Arabidopsis thaliana: one gene and its partners. The protein of the gene in region 1 interacts with the protein of each later gene in a pairwise test. Each region holds a gene or a part of one and is shown in the gene's direction. Other genes may lie near its edges. The genes, in order: RTL1, AT1G49140, AT2G22230 and CP12-1.

The links.
Region 2: the proteins of RTL1 (region 1) and AT1G49140 interact in a two-hybrid assay, tested with the Arabidopsis thaliana proteins (one large-scale study listed by BioGRID).
Region 3: the proteins of RTL1 (region 1) and AT2G22230 interact in a two-hybrid assay, tested with the Arabidopsis thaliana proteins (one large-scale study listed by BioGRID).
Region 4: the proteins of RTL1 (region 1) and CP12-1 interact in a two-hybrid assay, tested with the Arabidopsis thaliana proteins (one large-scale study listed by BioGRID).

Annotation. Positions count from the first base shown.
Region 1 is NC_003070.9:30,311,702-30,316,800, forward strand, and holds RTL1 (RNAse THREE-like protein 1), read left to right. Parts: upstream 1-2,820; 5' UTR 2,821-2,907; coding exon 2,908-3,012; intron 3,013-3,196; coding exon 3,197-3,404; intron 3,405-3,532; coding exon 3,533-3,656; coding exon of another isoform or gene 3,657-3,660; exon of another isoform or gene 3,661-3,739; coding exon 3,740-3,899; 3' UTR 3,900-4,301; downstream 4,302-5,099. Other genes in the region: AT1G80640 (Protein kinase superfamily protein), read left to right, coding at 278-440, 680-850, 931-1,172, 1,268-1,400, 1,478-1,541, 1,644-1,740, 1,845-1,926, 2,017-2,132 and 2 more; HA9 (H[+]-ATPase 9), read right to left, coding at 4,526-4,622, 4,708-4,889, 4,971-5,099.
Region 2 is NC_003070.9:18,175,606-18,181,664, reverse strand, and holds AT1G49140 (NADH dehydrogenase ubiquinone 1 beta subcomplex subunit 10-B-like protein (Complex I subunit NDUFS6)), read left to right. Parts: upstream 1-2,400; 5' UTR 2,401-2,641; coding exon of another isoform or gene 2,642-3,088; 5' UTR 3,089-3,184; exon of another isoform or gene 3,185-3,186; intron 3,187-3,284; exon of another isoform or gene 3,285-3,368; 5' UTR 3,369-3,395; coding exon 3,396-3,684; intron 3,685-3,934; coding exon 3,935-3,969; 3' UTR 3,970-3,993; intron 3,994-4,651; 3' UTR 4,652-4,893; downstream 4,894-6,059. Other genes in the region: WNK7 (Protein kinase superfamily protein), read left to right, coding at 15-421, 522-742, 839-996, 1,112-1,532, 1,672-2,192; AT1G49150 (uncharacterized protein), read right to left, coding at 2,642-3,088; BBX17 (B-box type zinc finger protein with CCT domain-containing protein), read left to right, coding at 5,729-5,762, 5,867-6,059. UniProt on the Arabidopsis thaliana protein: Accessory subunit of the mitochondrial membrane respiratory chain NADH dehydrogenase (Complex I), that is believed not to be involved in catalysis. Complex I functions in the transfer of electrons from NADH to the respiratory chain.
Region 3 is NC_003071.7:9,447,938-9,452,856, forward strand, and holds AT2G22230 (Thioesterase superfamily protein), read left to right. Parts: upstream 1-1,992; 5' UTR 1,993-2,104; coding exon 2,105-2,306; intron 2,307-2,383; coding exon 2,384-2,444; intron 2,445-2,557; coding exon 2,558-2,702; intron 2,703-3,235; coding exon 3,236-3,490; 3' UTR 3,491-3,686; downstream 3,687-4,919. Other genes in the region: MIPS2 (myo-inositol-1-phosphate synthase 2), read right to left, coding at 3,964-4,146, 4,229-4,417, 4,517-4,693, 4,779-4,919.
Region 4 is NC_003071.7:19,444,283-19,448,538, forward strand, and holds CP12-1 (CP12 domain-containing protein 1), read left to right. Parts: upstream 1-2,447; 5' UTR 2,448-2,606; coding exon 2,607-2,981; 3' UTR 2,982-3,360; downstream 3,361-4,256. Other genes in the region: AT2G47390 (Prolyl oligopeptidase family protein), read right to left, coding at 1-241, 358-486, 581-1,562, 1,665-1,971. UniProt on the Arabidopsis thaliana protein: Acts as a linker essential in the assembly of a core complex of PRK/GAPDH. Coordinates the reversible inactivation of chloroplast enzymes GAPDH and PRK during darkness in photosynthetic tissues.

The DNA of each region.
Region 1 (5,099 bases):
CTCTTTGCTGCTTTATTAGCCTTTTTGTCCACCTTTTCATAACTGCCACATGAAGACCAAACACCTAAAACCTTTGTCCTTCTCTCTCTCTGTTTCCCAACTCCAACAGTGTCTCTTGTCTACATCTCCTCCAGACAAAGATAATCTCTAGCATTTTTCACCATCTCCATAAAAGAATTAGATAGAACACGAAGCAGCTTCGTACTCTTTATCTCTCTCTCTCTCTCTTTTTGTCTTTTCTCTGCATATTTGTTGATACCAGACAACAAAATTAAATATGTGTCTCCTTCGTCATTTGCTACCCATTTGGGTTCTTCTTGGTTTCTTCTTCTTCTCCACTGCTACTAAATCACAAGAATCTTCCGTTGTCTACGTTTCTGGTGCTTCCCCCGAAATCCCCATTTCTCAGGCTTCTCCACGAATGGGAGCTCAATCCCCAGGTACTTATTAGTTTCCCCTTTCCAAATTTTCTCCATGTTGCCCCTAAGAACAAAAATATCAATATTTGGTGATTGGGTCTTACTAGTTCTTGAAATTGTCGAAATGTGTTTGCTCATACTTTCATAAAGGAATTGAATTTAGTTGAATTGATACTGTTTCCCAATTAAAACTGAAAACTTTCCGATAATTAAGCAAATAAATTGAATTTTATCCCTTATTTAAATTTAACTTTGCTCAGGACCTCCCATTGTTAAAGTGGTGCTTCGCCAGGACTTGAACAAGAAGATTCTAATTGCTCTTATAGTCTCATCATCTCTGCTCTGTGTCACAGTCATGTTCCTTGTGTATCTCTTGCTATGGAGGTACAGGAATATGAAGAACAGCTTCACCGGTATCAAACGCAAATCCGGTATTCAATTCTATCTCTTTATATTTTTGTAATTTCCTTGGTTTTGTTATGGCTTATTTTGGTGCTTTGGTTATCTGAAGATTCGGTGAAGAGTGTAACCACGAAACCGACTGTACACAAGATTGATTCTGTGAGGAAAGGAACCATCCCTGTGTATGAATATCAATTGCTGGAATCTGCAACAAACAAGTTTAGTGATAGTAATGTGTTGAGCCGAGGTGGTCGTGGATGCCTTTACAGAGCTTGTCTCGATGAAAAATCCTCAGTCACTGTGAAGAAACTTGATGGCGGTGGGGAGACAGACATTGAAAAACAGTTTGAGGTTTGACCCCTAAGATGATTATACAGAATCGCACCATCTCATTCGATAAACCATAACTCGGTTTTTTGCTTTCTCTTGTTGATTTTCTAATGCAGACTGAAGTAGATTGGTTGGCTAAGATCAGGCATCAGAACATAGTTTCCTTATTGGGGTTTTGCGTATATCGGCAAACGAGTTGTATTGTGTATGAGTTGATGCAGAATGGATCTTTGGAGAGTCAGTTACATGGTAAGGGGATATGATCCATGTTTGTTCCATCTTTTGTCATCTGATTTTGATTTTGTTGTGCTTTTGAATGCTCTAAGGGCCTAGTCAAGGTTCAGGTTTAACTTGGCAGCTCAGGATGAAGATAGCGGTTGATATAGCGAGGTAAAGTCCATTCATTGATAATACTTTCAAACATTTAGTAGTTCCATGTGATCTCCAAGAACATATATTTGTATGCTTACAAAGTATTCTTTTTTCATAAAGAGGATTAGAGTATCTTCACGAGCATTGCCATCCTCCTGTAGTTCACAGAGATTTGAAATCATCTAGCATCCTTCTGGACTCCGATTTCAATGCAAAGGTAAAAGAGAAAATGATATAATGTAGAAAATTCTTCTTAGACTTATTGTATTCTCCATACAATATGAGTCTTAAGGATCTGTTGCCACATTTGCTTCTCTTTAGATATCCGATTTTGGGTTTGCCACGGTTTTGACCACGCAGAATAAAAACCTGATACACAAGGCTTCTGAGGATCTTCTTGATGGTAAGGAGTTAATCTTTTTTCGGGGTTCGATCTTGACATATATGCCAAACGAGATGCTCAAATTTCGACCATTCTGTAATCATCTTTCAGGGAAAGTTACAGACAAGAATGATGTCTACTCATTTGGAGTGATCCTGCTCGAACTTCTCCTCGGGAAGAAATCAGTGGAGAAACCGTCTTCTGAACCAGAATCCATCGTTACTTGGGTACATAATAAAACTTTCACGAGATAGTGGCTTCGTTTAGCAGGAAATCCTCTGACTTGTGATCTTTGTTGATCATCAGGCAGTACCTAAGCTGAGTGATAGAGCTAATCTACCAAACATATTGGATCCTGCAATCAAAGGAACCATGGATTTGAAGCATCTATATCAGGTAAAAAAGCTTCAACAAAATCTCACACAGATTTTACGAAAAACACATTAGCCAAATATAGAAGGAAAAAGATTCCTCTTTGAACTTTGTGTTATATTTTCTTTGGACAGGTAGCTGCGGTGGCGGTGTTGTGTGTACAGCCGGAGCCAAGTTACAGACCACTTATAACCGATGTCTTGCACTCACTCATCCCTCTTCTACCAGTAGAACTCGGTGGATCATTGCGGATTTTATAAAAAAACATTTCCCCTTTCTTTTTTTTTTTCTTGTAACAGATCAATGCGTTTATGAATTTGTCTCTTATGTTGGTTCTTCCGGAGAATTTATTGTTGTATGTTTAATCACTGCTACAAAAAATTCGGAAGTTTTGCTTAAATGGAACCGAGAGACAAGTTAGTAGAGTTTGGTTAGTAAAAGTTAAAGGTTTAAAAGCTTTAACATATAAATAAATAAAAACGTTGACTTTTTATAACAGAGTTTGTTGTTGTGGGGAAATGAATTAATTAATGAACCTTATCCGTTTTGTCGATGATCGATAAAATTTTCAATTTCTCGATTCCCAAAGAAAGATATCTGGGAATTAGACAAGGAGTAGTAATATGAAAGATGGAGGATCAGGAAACGAAGCGGATAACCAAAAAACCGTCAAGATCGATCATCATCAGTCTCAAAGATATTCCTCCTCTCGACCCTTCTTCTATTCCCTCTATGGTAAATATTCATTCACTCCAACCATATTCTCTTCTTTCTCGCTAACAAAAAAATTGATCATCTGGGTTTGAAACAGAGAACAATCTCTGCGTTTTCTATTTGTAGATGATTCTTCTTCTGTGATTTGGCTATATCATGGGTTAATAGTAATAAATATCTCAACTTTGCTTCTGTCAATTGTTAGAAACCAATGGCGCAAGATCATCATAATGTGGGAATGCAGAGATTCCAAGAGAAGACTGACTTCAAGTTTGAAGAAGAAGACAATGCCATTTCTTCCTTCTCTAACATTCAAATTGATCCTAACAGCACAAGAAGCATTTCACTAGAGAAGAAGCTTGCTCCTAAACCAGATGAAGAACACACCACCACCACCAAACCCATATCTAAAGGTTCATTCATTTTTTCTTCACCTCTTTTGCTAATTATGATGTAAACTTGTTCGGAAACCAACAGAGATTGCAATTTTTGGTATAGAAGATAGAATTTTGGTCATTTTGTTCTGAAATTTGTGTTCCAGATGATGAATCTAAGACTAGGAGAGGCTCAGCTAAATCGGTGTTACACGAAATGTGTGCTTCCAAGCGTTGGAGACCTCCTGTTTATGAATGCTGCAATGTTGATGGACCTTGCCATTTGAGATTGTAAGTAAACATCTTCTAACCTGCACTTGCTTTTATTTTTTGAGTCGCAATCTTTTTTGCATCAACTTGGTTTTTTGGTTCAGATTTACATACAAAGTTATGGTTGAGATTAGAGATTCTTCAGGGAAAACTGTTTTGGAGTGTTTTGGGGATCCCAGACGCAAAAAGAAAGCTGCTGCTGAGCATGCAGCAGAAGGAGCGCTTTGGTATCTTGAGCATGTGAAGACAAAGCCGCATCAGTAAATCATCATTTAGTCGATATGAAGTAGCTGGAGAGTTTAGTAAAGCCATCTATAGTTAGTTCTAACGAGGGAAGCTTGAACCATATTATACCTATCTTTTAATTCATTATAGCTCTATGGGTTGTAACAGTTTTGATCTGTATCAGAACTTTTCTTTCAAACTTTGTGCCATTATATTTCTCCTTAGTAAGGAGCCTTTATCTTTATCTTTATGTTTATGGAATAGAAGAGCTCAAGTCATCCAAGTTAGAGAAAGCTTTGGAGACTTTGTCTGGTTAGACTGAAGGAGGGAATTCAGTTCAGTGAGATTTGAAACACTGATTTTTCTCATTTGCAACTAAGATTTGAGCATTCTTTTTTTTTTTGGTTTTGTTGCATTCTCTCTTGCGCGGACAGAGACTAGAAGAAACTTACTCAAGAATTCTAAGTAATTGTAAGATCTTATTACTCTTGTAAAAAAGGAAAAAACAAGAATATCTCAAAAATATAAAAAAAGAAGAAGCCACATCCACTGCTAACAAAAGAAACAATTTTCTTTTTGCAGCATTCTCTAATTATGGAAGTGGTTATTTATTCAATACTCTTGTGGGGTTCTAAAACTAAACTGAGAAACACTTGTTTCTGAAATCACAGGGTATAGTGTTGCTGGATAGCCTCAATGTCTAGTCCCTTCTGCTTCACTACTGATTCCACGTGACCTTTCAAGGTGTGACGTTCCCTTAACCTGAAATTTACAAGACAAGAAATGTTTGTAAGCCCATTTTCTGAGGAACCTAATGGTATGGAATAATCAGTTACTTGAGCGTTGCCTTGCAACTTCAGCTCGTCTCTTGGCTTGATCAGCTATCTCTGAAAGCTCTCTGTAAGTGCTCTTGTCATTGAACATATCTGAGGTTTGAGCTGGCTGCAATCCGTGAAGTGTACGTTGCGCTTGTGCCCATTGTGCTTCTCTCTCTCCCTTTCCGTAGTCTTTCTTTGACGTGAAAGCGGTCTGAACAGAGGAACAAAGGTTAGGAAAAAGGATTATACTACTGTGTTCTTGTTCTCATCAGTATTGGCCTGAGAAGCAAACCTTGTTCTCAATGACATTATCCCATGCTCTTCCACTCAGTGAATATCTGATGATGAACTTGAGGATATCCAATGGGATGTAGAAGACTATACTATAGAGCCAGATAACTCCTGCCCATCCCCACCCAAT
Region 2 (6,059 bases), about 12 Mb from region 1:
TGTAAACCTTTCAGTACAAAGAAGTAATAGGCAAAGGCGCATCCAAGACAGTGTATCCCTTTCTCTGTTTTTCTTTACATAATCTCTGTTTTTGTTTTACAATCTGTTATTCTGTGTTATGTGACATCATAGTTTGTGCTACGAGAGGATATGAAATTCATTATTTCTTTAACTCTCTTGAACAAATAATCAGTTTTAAGGGATTCGACGAAGTAGATGGGATTGAAGTAGCGTGGAATCAAGTAAGGATCGACGATCTTTTGCAATCACCAGATTGTCTAGAGAGGCTATATTCCGAAGTGCGGCTTTTGAAATCTCTGAAGCATAAAAACATCATAAGGTTTTATAACTCGTGGATCGATGACAAGAACAAGACGGTTAACATAATTACCGAGTTGTTCACTTCAGGAAGTCTCCGGCAGTATGTATTTTGCTCATTTTTATACTATCTTGTTATGTCGCCGCGAAAATAGCGGTTTTGGAGTTGTGTTTAAAGCAGCGAAATCTTGGTTTTCTTGAAGGTACCGTAAGAAACATAGAAAGGTGAATATGAAGGCTGTCAAGTGTTGGGCGAGACAGATTTTAACGGGATTGAAATATCTACATAGTCAAGATCCGCCGATAATACACCGAGATATCAAATGTGACAACATTTTTATCAACGGTAATCATGGAGAAGTGAAAATAGGAGATCTTGGTTTAGCTACTGTCATGGAACAAGCTAATGCCAAAAGTGTGATTGGTATGAGCAATGCTTTTTCTTTTATATAGTTTACAAATTCGTTTTTCTTTGTTTTTTTTAGGATCTAAATTGATAGTGTTATGTTATAACCAACAGGAACACCGGAGTTTATGGCGCCTGAGCTTTACGATGAGAACTACAACGAGCTCGCTGATATATATTCGTTCGGGATGTGTATGTTGGAAATGGTGACTTTTGAATATCCTTATTGTGAGTGTAGAAACTCTGCTCAAATCTACAAGAAAGTTTCATCGGTAAGTTCGATATTTTCAAATTGTTTCTACCATTGGTTTTATGATATCGAACAATATATGATAATATGAATGGATAACTTACTTGGTGAGTCTTTTTTTTGTATTCTTTACTTAGGGGATCAAACCAGCTTCACTATCAAAGGTTAAAGATCCAGAGGTAATGAAATTTATCGAGAAATGTTTATTGCCAGCTTCCGAAAGGTTATCGGCAGAGGAGCTTTTATTGGATTCTTTTCTCAATGTGAACGGTTTAGTTATGAACAATCCATTACCGCTTCCCGACATTGTAATGCCGAAAGAAGGATCATTCGGTGAACGTTGTCTTATGTCTGAAGGACCACCTAATGCTCGGAATAGAACGATGTCAATGAATCTTGACGAAGACAATAACCTTCCTATTGTTATTTCAAGCAACAATTCAGGAACAAACTGTATTGAGGTTAGACGGGCAAAGCGAGGAAACTTTTTTGTCCTTAAAGGTGAAGAGAATGATGAGAACTCTGTCTCATTAATTCTTCGTATAGTCGATGAAAATGGTAAGAGTCTTTTGCGTTTATATTTTACAAAACATTTCACCGAAAATGTTAGATGCATATACAATCAGCCAAAAATTGCGTTTGGAAAATTGCATATTATACCAAACTTGATTAGTTTTGTCTTCTTTTTGGCGTGTAGGGCGTGTGAGGAACATTCATTTTCTATTCTTTCAAGAAGGTGACACTGCTTCTAATGTATCTAGTGAGATGGTTGAACAGCTTGAATTGACGGATAAAAACGTAAAGTTTATAGCGGAATTGATTGACGTGTTACTCGTCAATTTGATACCGAATTGGAAAACCGATGTAGCTGTCGATCATCTAATTCATCCGCAACAGAACCAGAGCTCCAAGGATAATCATCAAAACGGTGCAAGTTCTCAAGCTGGTGAATCCATTAGCCACTCTTTGTCCTCTGATTATTGCCCACGATCCGATGATGAGGCAAACCCGACCGTAGCTGCAACAACAGAAGATCAAGAAGCAGAGAAACCAGGAAGCTTGGAGGAAGAAGAAGAAGATGAGAGGTTAAAAGAGGAGTTAGAAAAGATAGAAGAACGGTTCAGAGAAGAGATGAAAGAGATAACGAGGAAAAGAGAAGAAGCAACAATGGAGACCAAAAATAGATTTTTCGAGAAGAAGATGCAACAAGTTGAGTAAAGTAAACAACAGAGCAACACTCTGGTTTTGGATTCCTCTGTTTTGCTTTTCTGTTTTTCCATGTTTTATTATTTTAGTTTTGGTCAAAGAGAAAAAAGCTTTTGTTGTTTACTTGTTTCATTGCAAGTGTAGAAAGTTTCCTCCATAAAAAAAATAGAAAGTATTTTCTAATGGTAATTGGGATTTACATTATATAAAGCACTAATTGCTGAGATAAAACCATTCATCAGGTATATATGTAAAACTATTCTCGAGATAAAACAAGAAAGTGAATACACAATTTTCTTGCCTCTATTCATAAGAAATAAACCTGTTTTCATTGTGTTTATTTAACACCAAAAGCACTCAAAATTGAGGCTTAACATTCAGACAAACCGTAACTATAGAACATAAGAAAAACCTAACTATTGAAGAGGTTGCATTATATCACAAGTTTAAAACACCAAAGCTCAAGCTGAGTAGCAAAAATAGGTCTCTTCTTCCGCCACCAAAACCTCAACAGGAACGTCTACAAAAGCCTTGACCGCCACAACGACCACCGGAAAAACGACCACCGACGAAAAGACCACGACCACCACCAGGACCAAAGACAGGAGTACCAAAACGGCTATAAGGTTCCTCATCAGAAGATGATCCATCCACAGACATGCTCTCTGCCTGGGCTTTACAGAGCCAATTTTAACTTCATTATTTGACCTAAACAATGAGATCAACAGATCCATCTTCTCTTCCATTTTATGAAGACGAATACCAAATCCTTCCAACATCTCCATCGCATCAGATATTTTCATCTCAGTCGTCATGTCTTTCTTATCTTTCTCCAAATTGTCTGTAGGCGTCGTGTCCTTAATCACAGAAGGAGATGCTTCAGCTTTGGTTGCGGATTTATTGTCCATGGAGAAGATGATTAGTAGAACAACGCACTAGAGCTAGGTTAAAAGAGAGAAATTGGAGATCGGCAAAAACCCCTAATCAGCTGCTTAGGAAGAAAGGTATTTATAAGAGTCTTTTATATTCTGGCTTGGGGCACAAGAGTCCTTTCCTTTTATTTTATTTACTTTTCCCGTTGTTCATTTTTTCAACTAAGCAAGCTTTATCTGGGCCGAGGTGAGGCCCATTAATTGAATTAAAAGCCCAAAATAACAACAAAACATTACCTGATTGTCGGAAAATCAGACGGAAACAAAAGAAATCAAAAATCCGATGGGGAGGAAGAAGGGATTGCCGGAGTTCGAAGAGTCGGCGCCGGATGGATTCGATCCTGAGAATCCGTACAAGGATCCGGTTGCGATGGTGGAGATGAGAGAACACATTGTTCGTGAGAAATGGATCCATATCGAGAAGGCTAAGATCTTACGTGAGAAGGTCAAATGGTGTTACCGCGTCGAAGGCGTTAACCATTACCAGAAGTGTCGTCATCTTGTTCAGCAGTATCTCGATGCCACTCGCGGCGTTGGTTGGGGCAAAGACCACCGTCCTATCTCTCTTCACGGTGAGTTTTTTTCCCGGCGTTCTCTCTCACACTGGTGAAAATGCTTAGATTGAAATTCTTAGGGTTTCGTGTTTTTTTCCTTAGCCTTTGAATTTTGAATTCAGTTACTCTTTAGTGTGTTTGATTGAATTTGATTTGAATTTGATGTAGAGTGGTCTCAAAATTCTTCATGAATACCTTTGTGAAATTGATTCTTCCTTTAGATATATGTATTGAATTTTTTTTGTTTGTATTGATTTTGTCAAACCAGGTCCTAAGCCAGTAGCTGTTGAAGAAGCTGAATGATGTTGTGTGCGTGATTGATCTTTGGTAAGTAACTGGTGTTGATTAGTTATATAGTGTGTATTGCTTAGAAGAGGAGAAAGGTTAGACTTTCTAGCATGCTTTGTGTAGACACTATCTTATAACTGGACATGTTATGTGAATCTGTTTGTGGTAGGAGAAAATTGGAATATGGATGTTTGGATAGTTATATGTATGAACTGATCAGGTCTTAGAGTGACTTAGTTTTGCGGAAGTTGTGGATACACTGGTTAATTATTGATATCAATCTGACTGCAATCACAAAGGTTAAAGCTTAGTCATGGACTTTCTTCGGTGGTTTTAGAAACAGGACATGTTTTGGAATGTATAGAAATGAAATTGATAGATCTTGGAGTGACTCAATTTTGGAGACATATGGGCCGATATTATAGATACCAATCCGCTTGCAATTGCGTCCATCTTTAATCTGCAACAGAGCTAAACCTAGTCACAGAATTTCATTGATGAATTAATTATTTGAGATATGAGATGTTGTGGACTGTATGAAGAAGGATAGAGCTCCAACATTTAGGTTTTGATTGGTTTAAACAATAGTTCCAATAGGGTTAAGGCATATAGTCAAAATCTCAAGTTCAAATTGGATTGATGATTTTTGTATTTGGTTCAAAGATTTTAAAGGTTTTTTCTTGCTCCAATGACACAGGTGAGTGAGAGCTTTGATTACCATACATGAATGGAGTCTCTGTTGCAAGTTAATGCTCCACATCAAGGTTGTTACTTGATTTATGCTTTTCTGTTTCGTAAAACATATATTACTAATTGGACTTGGGAGTTCCAATTGGTTAAGCTCAGCTTCGTTTTTCAAATGATTTATATATATTTTTGGCTTGTTGTACATTGCGTCCCTGTTTGTCGAAATAATGAAATTCCCAAGTACCTTTTTGCATGCTTGCAACTTAGTATATGTTTTTAAGACTTTATCTGATAAAACTAAGAAAGAGTTAACTCTAAAAACATCATACTTTCCCTTTATTTCAAAACTGTAGGAACATCTTTACTTCTTTAGTGTTGTCTAAATGGATTCATTTCTGAAATAGTTCATGAAATTTTTATTAACCTTTAAGTAGTAGTTCAAACATCTACGGAGTCTATTACCATATGTTAAATGGTGACAAAGACAGGTAAGGACCACAGACAAAATGAGTCAGAAAACAAAAGACTAACAAACAAAAAGATAAAACTTAGAGATGGGTAAGGAAAAGAAGCCATAAAAGACCCAAAAACATAATCCAAGTCTAACCAATAAGATCGCAAAGATATGGATCAACTTCGGTACATGATGCCAAATCATCACTACAGTGTCTTTTTTCCTTGTACAACCCAACCAAAAATGGGTATGGCCAAACTTCAATAATACACCAAGTGTTTACTCATCTCAAATTTTACTACCTTTTCTTAAGACTAATCTACTCTATATAAGTATGTTCACTAACCCTTAATGTTAAGATTCAAGAATATTAAACATGTATAGAACAAGACTCAAGGAAACTTGAGCTAAAAAGTCATTTCTAGTCCCTACTGACATAAGAAAGAAGTGTCAGTGAAAAAATCTTCTAGATTCTAAAGGAAAATGTCTTTGTCTGATCCCAACGAAAAAGATTATTATATACCTACCTAAGCAGGCTCCTTTGTCAGTGCCCATTATTCTCCATCCCTCTTAGCCCTTGTCTTCTTCATTGTCCCCTTTTTCTCACTTTAAGATCTTTCTTGTTCTTAGCCCATGACAAGTCACCAAAATATCAAAATTTCAGAAAGTATATAACCATTACTCTACTGTTTCCTGATAAACCTCCTTTTGTGCCAGTTTCTTCTTCTACTTTGATTTCTTCTCATATCTCTGTTTTCATGTTTTGCGCAGAAATTATGATTTCAAAGTACCAAGAAGATGTCAAGCAGCCACGAGCTTGCGAACTTTGTCTGAACAAACACGCAGTTTGGTACTGTGCCTCCGATGATGCTTTCTTGTGCCATGTTTGTGATGAATCAGTGCATTCTGCAAACCATGTAGCGACAAAACACGAGAGAGTTTGTCTTAGAACAAACGAGATATC
Region 3 (4,919 bases), on another chromosome or scaffold:
TAGCCCATTAGAGATTACAGTATCCAATCGGCCATCGTATGGCTGGAGGAGTATGCTTGCTGCCAAACATGTTCTCAAGGCCGGGATTCGTAGGACCATTGGGTCGGGTTTTGAGACTTGTATTTGGACTGATCCATGGATCCCAGATATCTCCCCAAGACCACCGAAAGGTCTAGCTACGGATAGAAAACCTCTGATCTATGTAAATACCTTGATTGATTTTGAAACGAAACAGTGGAAAGTAGATCGGTTACGTGAGCTCTTCCCCCCCAAAGATATTACCCTCATTTTAGGGATAAAACCGAGCTTAAATGCCTCGCGAGATGGATATAGTTGGACTATGACCAAATCAGGTAATTATACCGTCAAGACAGGATATGAAGCCGCGAGAGCTATCTCTCGCCCGTCTTGTGACCACCCTTTTCAGGGACCTAGTGTTTCAGCACTAAAGGCGCAAGCGTGGAAGTTAAAAACTACACGAAAGCTTAAGCATTTTGTGTGGCAATGTGTGTCAGGTTGTTTGGCAACATGTCAACGACTACATTTTCGCCATATTGGTAGAGATAAAAAGTGTCCCAGATGTGGGGCTAATGAGGAAACCATCAACCATTTGCTATTTGATTGTCCACCAGCGAGACAAGTCTGGGCTTTGTCCGGTATTCCCTCCTCTCTATCTAGGTTTCCGTCGCCCTCTATATACAATAATCTGGATTATTTGTATTGGAGAGCAAAGGAGATTGGAGCTAGCGAGGAGAGCCTACGGATTTTTCCGTGGATCATGTGGTATATTTGGAAAGCGCGAAATCGAAAGATTTTTGAAAATATTTGCGTCCAACCTCAAGACACTTTAGGATTGGCAATCCAAGAGGAAGAAGTTTGGAGGAGAGCCAACATGAGAGAGGAGCAAGTGGAGGAGACGGTGCCATGTTTGCAAGTCCCAATTTTACCTTTGGACGTTCCAGTGTGCTTTATTGATGGGTCGTGGCATGTATCTGAACCTCGAAGTGGTCATGGGTGGATATTGAACATCGGGGAAAGACTGTTACACTTGGGATTGAAGGGATCACGACGTTGTTTATCACCGCTTCACGCGGAATTAGACACATTAGTTTGGGCCTTGAAGTGCATGGTGGGATTGTCGATATCGAGGGTACAAGTTATGACGGATTGCTCAGATCTTATCACCATGGTTAATACCCCGGAGGAGTGGCCTAATTTTGCATCGGAGCTAGAAGATTTCAAGATTTTTAGAGATAAACTTGTATCTTTAAATATTAACTACGTTCCTCGAACTAGTAATATTCGTGCAGATTACCTTGCAAAATGTGCAAGAGCACACGGATTCTGTTTTTCCCATGTAAGTTCAACGATTCCCGATTGGCTCTCTTTAGAGGAGAGCTTATATCCGTAGAATAATAGATGGAGTTAGATCGAGAAAAAAAAAAAAAAAAATTATGGTACTTATAAAGTTTAAATAACTATAAGCATTAAAGCATATATATTAAGCATCATTTGTTATGGTATTTAATTTTAAAAACTAGTTGACTTTTTAAATTGTCAACTCTCACCACAACTAATGGTCAAGATAATCTAAAACAATGCTAAAAAGGTCATGAACCCTGACCTAATTTTGTGGATCCAGCTAAAGATGTGATTATTTTTTATAAATTAGTCAACTGGAACAAATTTCATATACTGGCACCTAGTCTATGTGCCTTTGGTTATGCACAAATGCAACTCTAAAATCGTAAAAATCGGTGACTTTTTAAAATGAGTTTGGTTAGCGGTTCGATTCGGTTCATCAAAAGGAACAGTCAACCTTGTTTGTTCCAAAAAAAGGCTACGAAGGACCAAAAAAAGAAAAAAAGAAATGGCCTATACAGGGATCGAACCTGTGACCTTCGCGTTATTAGCACGACGCTCTAACCAACTGAGCTAATAGGCCACTTGTTATATTGTTTCCATTGTATGAATATATTCAAAACCTATGAATTTGTCACTATCTCTGCTTCAACTAACACAAACCTTTGTACTCTCCGCTCCTTCACCTGCAAAAACAACATCTCTCACATTCTCTCTAAACTCTCTTCACTGTTACTCGACAATGGCTACTACTTCTAACTCGGTACTTTTCCTAAGTTCTGACTCACTGATTCATCATCATCATCATCAACCTCTCCATCTATCTTCCTCCAGATCTCACTCTGTTTCTCTCCCACCCAACAAGCGATCCAATTCTCTCACGCTTCGTTGTTCAACAAATGGCGATAGCACCTCAACCGAAAAGGAAACACCAATCGAACTCAGTAAGATTTTTCTCTCGATTTCTAATGTTTCCGACATTCGTCATTCTCTTACTCAATCTGTTTCTCTTAATCCCCAGAATTCCCAGCATTTCCAACGGTAATGGACATTAACCAAATCAGAGAGATATTGCCTCACAGGTATAAAATATTCATAAGACTTCAACTTTCGGTGATTTGATGAGTTTTCGTTGAAACCCATGTTTGAAGTTTTGATCTTTCTGGAATTTGACATTATGGTTCTTGGATTTTAGGTTTCCGTTTCTGCTGGTAGATAGAGTGATAGAGTATACGCCTGGTGTTTCAGCTGTAGCTATTAAGAATGTCACCATCAATGACAATTTCTTCCCTGGCCATTTCCCTGAACGACCAATCATGCCTGGTGTTCTCATGATTGAGGTAATAATAATCGTTTAAAGTTGCAAACTTTTGTCCTCAAGAAGATCAAATATTTTGTAATTGATATGTTAGCTGTTGTATTCCTTTCAAAATGCTTTAATGTTCGCTACTGTTTTAATCGAAGATGGATGTTAACTATGATAAGAGGTTAATGATCTGCTAGTTTGGATTCTGAATCCTGATAGATTAGCGCGAGATCTTCACCTGGTTGGTAATTGAATTGTCCTTCTGTGGTCTGATAGAGTGATGAGTATATTATAGTTGAGGGACTTCAACTTCACTTTGCTAAAAACTTGATCCAAAATGTGTGAAGCTATCTGCAGCTTTGATACTGAAAACTCGAGTCTGCGTAGTAGAAATATGCAACTTTAAGCTTGAAAGAGGTTAATGATCTCGCTAATTTGGTAGAGGTTTTGGATTCTGAATCCCGATAGAGGATCACAGATCCTCTATAAAAAAGATAACCGCCATATGGTTGAGTATTAATGTCTTGAAGATCATTTCACTGAAAAGTCAGAGTTTGTGTATTGCAGGCAATGGCGCAAGTCGGAGGTATAGTAATGCTGCAGCCGGAAGTAGGAGGCTCTCAAGATAACTTCTTCTTTGCTGGTATTGATAAAGTGAGATTTCGCAAACCAGTGATTGCAGGAGACACGCTAGTCATGAGGATGACTCTTCTCAAGTTCCAGAAGCGGTTCGGGCTCGCTAAAATGGAAGGTAAAGCTTATGTGGGTGGTGCTCTGGTGTGTGAAGGCGAGTTCATGATGGTTTCTGCTGGTAGTTCTTGATCTCACCCATTAATGGTCTCACTTCCCACATGTGGACTCTTCTTATGCTTCTTCTGTTATTCGAAAATCTAGACAAGACAGCTTTATGTTTTCGACATTTATATGAGCTACTTTTGCCCTTCGTGTCTTTATTGCTGTCTCCAATTTATGAACATTCATAAGATACAAATACAGAGATTTTGATTTTGAAAATCCATATTCATAGATCATAAGTTTGGTTATATTACAAGGAGACACAAGCATAATTACTTAAATCTTTTACACATTTGATCCAAAAGCTTAGCTAATCTTCTCACCAAATAAACCGACCAGATCCATATCACACAAGTTAACCCTAAGCTTATCCATATTATCCGTCACACACACATTCATATAATATACATACAAAATGATATATATAAATGAAACAATGGAGCAGTGTCCTTCATATCCTAAGGTCATCTTAGGTACCTTTACTTCTTCTTCCTCATCCTTCACTTGTACTCCATGATCATGTTGTTCTCTGGCGCAAGCCCAACACATGCCCTAAGAATGTTTTCCAGCATTGCCCGCTGCTTCGACAGAGCGTTAACCACCGGTGTTCCGGGCGGTACAAGAGGTGCCTTTGTGAGGTAACTGAGTATGGTAGCTACCGGGTGGAAAGAGTGAAACTTCCCCTGAAAGAGAATAGATTCAAACATGAAAAAAAAAAACTCACCAATCTCGAGTTTCTTGGTAACTAACTAACGGAATACAAACCTCTCCTTCAGCTTTAAATTGGATTCTGGTGCTGAGTTCAGCGAGAAGGACAAGATCCAAGATAATTGGTGCAGCCAAGAGAGAGTCCTCACAAGTGTTATGCAACACTATAGTGTTCCTCCCTCCCATGAATATCTCAGACGTGTACTCATCCATTGCTCTTTTACTATCCGCAACATATGGCACATACTGCAAAACATTCAGAACAATAGCAGGATTTAAGACTTTAAAATGTACTTAAAAAGAAAGGAGGAATTGATCACTCTGGCCTCTGATTCAAAATCAAACCTTGATGACAACGACATGGTCAGGGTGTTCACCAGGCTCAAAGAGGATGCCATTACTAGCTACCATGTCGTCTACAACATTGCTCTTTGAAATCTCCTTAGAGCGGAAAGTCTGTGGCGCTGAGAGGTTCATCCCGTCGTTGTTTCCCAAATGATTATAGCTCACAATCGAAGTAGGCTGCCACAAAATCCATTCTTAGTTCCTTCACTAACAGAAGAGAAGCAAGTTAGGTTACTTGATAAACAAGCTTTAATTCTATTACCTTAATGCCAGCTCCAACAAGGAAATCAACCAAAACGGATTTCATCTTAGTCTGACCACTCTTGAAATCATCCCCACCAATCAAACAATTCTTCGATATAGCCAATTCGATAAGACCGGGGACAAAAGTATTCTGAGGACT
Region 4 (4,256 bases), on another chromosome or scaffold:
TAATACATAAGTGCCTTCATCATTTTCCTTCTTTATCTTTGCTATTACATACGTTCCAGCATCGGTCCTTCTCAGCATGGTTGAGCCAGGGTCTGAGTACACATCTTCCGATGATCTATCAAACAAGATGCGTGGACTGACATCGTTAGATCCAGGAGAGATAACCCACGTCCTTGTTCGTCGTGTTTTATACCATGATTCATAAACCAGAGCTAATGTATCATCACACCAAGAAATCCCTCTGCAGAATTGAAATCGGATCAATGTTAGGACATAGAAGGCTTTGATGAAGTTAGTCAGTTTGTTGATAAGATGGCATAAGTAATCTACAATATCTGCTGTGTTTTTAGTTGTTACCCATAACGAAGATCGAGCTTGTGTAACACTTCTGGTTCTTCTCCTGCCAATGGTTCAGCAGACTGCATATAAACTATATCACGCGGTGAAACTTCCATTTTGGCATCACCTCCATCTTGTGTTTCTGCCCTACATATCTCAGAAGAGTTGTAAATTAATTACTTCCAAATCCCATTTTGGCACGTGTACTACATGTGATTCACTTTGAATCTCAAATATATACCAGTAGAGGGTTGAAGGCTTGTCTGCTCGCCAGTTTATTGAACGCATTCCTTTCCGCACACTATTGGAGGCAATGGGGATATCTTCAGCCAAGGGCAAGTCACATAGCTGTCTTACAAATCTACCATCAGTTGTCCAGACTTCCACCTTCTTTGGAAATCTACCACAAGGTACAATGAAGGAATATGGCCTGTGAAGTGATGACACCAACAAGTACTTATGGTCTGTCGAAGGGTCTAACGATGTATACACTGCAGGAACCCCTACTTCCTTCACAGTACCATCCAAAGAAGCCAATACTAGTTGTGATGAAGCGTAGTAGTCAAATAAATCAGCATCATACTCATCCTTAAGCAAATCTTGGAATGTTCTAACTTGGACAACAGTCTTCGTCTCGTTTGACAGAGTTTTGGGACCAGATGGCACCAAAGGTTTCTTTGGTGGTTCTCCACGAGATGAAGGGATTGTGCTCACCAACAAAGTGGAATTATCAATCCAAACAAAACTCTCAAAAATCGCATTCAGAAAAATATCTTGCGAGTTAAACAATGGTCTAGCTACTCCAGTCTCAACATCAGCTACCCATACCACTGGCTTACTACTATTTCCGTTCTCATCGACCCGGATGCTGAAAGCCAGATGCTTACCGTCATTGGACCATGTAACAAAGTTAATCTTACCACCATCTGGAATGCCAGTGATCTCCTTCTCAGGACTCAATGTACCATCAGGCAATAACTGATGGATTCCTAAACCAGTATAGAATGACATTCTGCTTCTGGTATTGCAGTATCCATCAATTCGAACACCAGCAAGCTTCTCCTCTGGTCTAGCTAAATCTGCGAGCGGAGGCAATGCTCTCCGCTTGAGAAACAATATCTTATCCCTATGTGGTGAAAATGATAAAGCCGGGACTGGTGGAGCATCTACAATATCTCTGATCTCAGGTGGAGGCAGACGATATCCAGTGCCTATAGCCAATTCTACATAGTTCAACACACAAACAAACAATCAAAAACGATTTCTCAGATTTCAATTCCAGTGACAAGTAACTCTATACACAAAAATATTCAAATCCAAGTTACCATCATCTTCAGTTGCAGTAGCAGAGGCTGATAGGGAGCCATTAGAGGTTCCACCACCGTCTTCAGCACCTCCAGAACAGGCAGATGCGAGAGAACGAAGCCTAGAAGCAGAACGTGAAGCCATGACAGTGGTCAACGGGTTTTCGGAGAATCGGCGAACTCTTACGCAACGTCGTGTACTCAGAGTCGAGAATCCGGAAAGCTTGGGAAGTAGAAGGAGAGAAGAAGCCGGTGACGGAGACGGCGGAGATAAATGGCAGAGAGGTGAAAGAGAGAAACGATGACAAGCTTTATGAAAGCGCATCATCTTTTTTTAATACTTGACTTTTTTAACCTTTTTAAAGTGCTCTGAATGATTCTCTCTTTTTCTATTCGACGGTTCACTAATCAAAACGACGACTGTATCTGTATGTATTTTTAACCAGGAAAACAAAAAATATCAGGAAAAATATCGGTAGTGGTCACTGCTTATGTGGGCCTTATCTATGGCCCAACTAGCGCTTATTTCCTGGAATATGGCCCATTATAAGTCAGTCGTCCTCCCCCTTTTTCTCAACAAAATGAAATACTCAAAAATATAGTAATTATTAATTTATTATGCTACTTTTCATGAGAAGTTTATGTCTATGAAAATTACAGAAGAGAAAATGATAACAAATTTTTATTATTTCAGTCAAAAATTAAAAAAAAAGCTTCTATAATTTTCAAGAAAAAATGTTCAACGGCTGATAAAATAAATATTCCGGGGAAAAACTTATGTTTCTCAAATTGGTAGAATACTACTTTTTGTGAAAAAATCTAAGTACACGTGGCAAAATATGCTTGGTTCTTAGAAGATAAGAGGATTGTGTTCACAGAGTTTAATAACGTGAACGAGTATATTTTATCTTCTTCATCTCTTCACATCAAAAAACTTTTCTCCTCCATCAAAATCCTCCGACGATGACAACCATAGCTGCAGCTGGCCTCAACGTCGCGACTCCACGAGTGGTCGTTCGACCTGTGGCTCGTGTATTAGGTCCGGTCCGGTTGAATTACCCGTGGAAATTCGGTTCGATGAAGCGGATGGTTGTGGTTAAGGCTACATCGGAAGGAGAGATATCGGAGAAGGTGGAGAAGAGTATACAAGAAGCTAAGGAGACATGCGCTGATGATCCGGTGAGCGGGGAGTGTGTAGCGGCTTGGGACGAGGTGGAGGAGCTGAGTGCGGCGGCGAGTCATGCTAGGGACAAGAAGAAAGCTGGTGGCTCCGATCCTTTGGAAGAGTATTGCAATGATAATCCTGAGACTGATGAGTGTCGTACTTATGATAATTAAAAAATATGTTTTTGATGTTCGAATTATGAAACTTTAGGTATGGATCAATGTTTGTTCTTCTTGTCCCTTGTTGTTATGTTTGTGTTTTTGGTTTGGTTGATGATTGTAATGTGATAAATGAATATGAATAGTACAATACACAACATATGTTTCATAATGTGTTTGGTTCGATTACATTTGCAGTTTCGTGAAATTGATAATAAAAAACTCAATTAAGTTTAGATGAGGCTGAGATGATCTTAGGTCACTCGCATACGTTCCTTATTATTTTTTTGTGGATGTGGAGATGTATGTGTCAAAACGACGTTGAGCCGAGAGAAAGATGAATTGATCGAGAGTTTCTTAGACGGTTTTAAAATTGCTGCCTTGCTGGTATGGGAATTAATCTTTGGTTTCAACAAGATGGGTAACAACAAACAAGCCCATGTAATTATGTTGATGCAGTGTAATGGGCTTTATCAAGCATGGGCCGATGTACAAATTTGACATATAGAATAGAACCAGTTTGTGGCCAGCCTCAAGGTGATGAGAAACAGTAAATATATTAAGGAATAAGTGAACTAAATAATTTGACAAAAAAAAAAACACCTGAAATGTATACAATTTTATTGTTTGATAACAAAATTTGTGAAGTTAAGTGAATGAATTCAAAATCGTTTATCTTCTAGCATTAAATTGATTAATCTAAAGTAAATGATACGAGTGTGCTTGTTTGATGCTCTTCTGTGTTATTTTGCAAATTTGAATTCGTTCACTTATATATATTTTTGGCGGTTCAGAAAAGTAGATTTTAACAAGAAAAATGCATCGGCACGGTATCACCAGTTAAAATCTGAAGGTAAAAAGGTTATATATGAATTTGTAAGAAAACAACAAAAATTAAGCCGATCTATTTGTCGGCCCAGCCGCTAAAGAGTCAATTATACCCCTATAATTCTCACGCGGTTTAAGAAAATGCAACAACAAGTAAGGGGTGTATCTGTCTTCTCACACATAAGATTTTTTTTTTTGCTTATTAAAACTCTTACGTATTGTTGTTTCCTATTCTCAAATTTGTATTTTCCAGATTTTCCAGAAAAATCTCACAGCGGTAAGAAAAAAAGAAAAAGAAGAGTCAGTGGTCTTGTTGTTTCGTTCTTCCTTGTTCGCTCGACCTGGCCGATGTCTAACCAGGACCAGGAGACGCGCACACAATTCGCAGAATGTAACGTTGTTGCTACTCTTCTTCTCTCGTTTCTGTGACCTAAGAACCATTCGAATTCGCTGCTCCGTCTC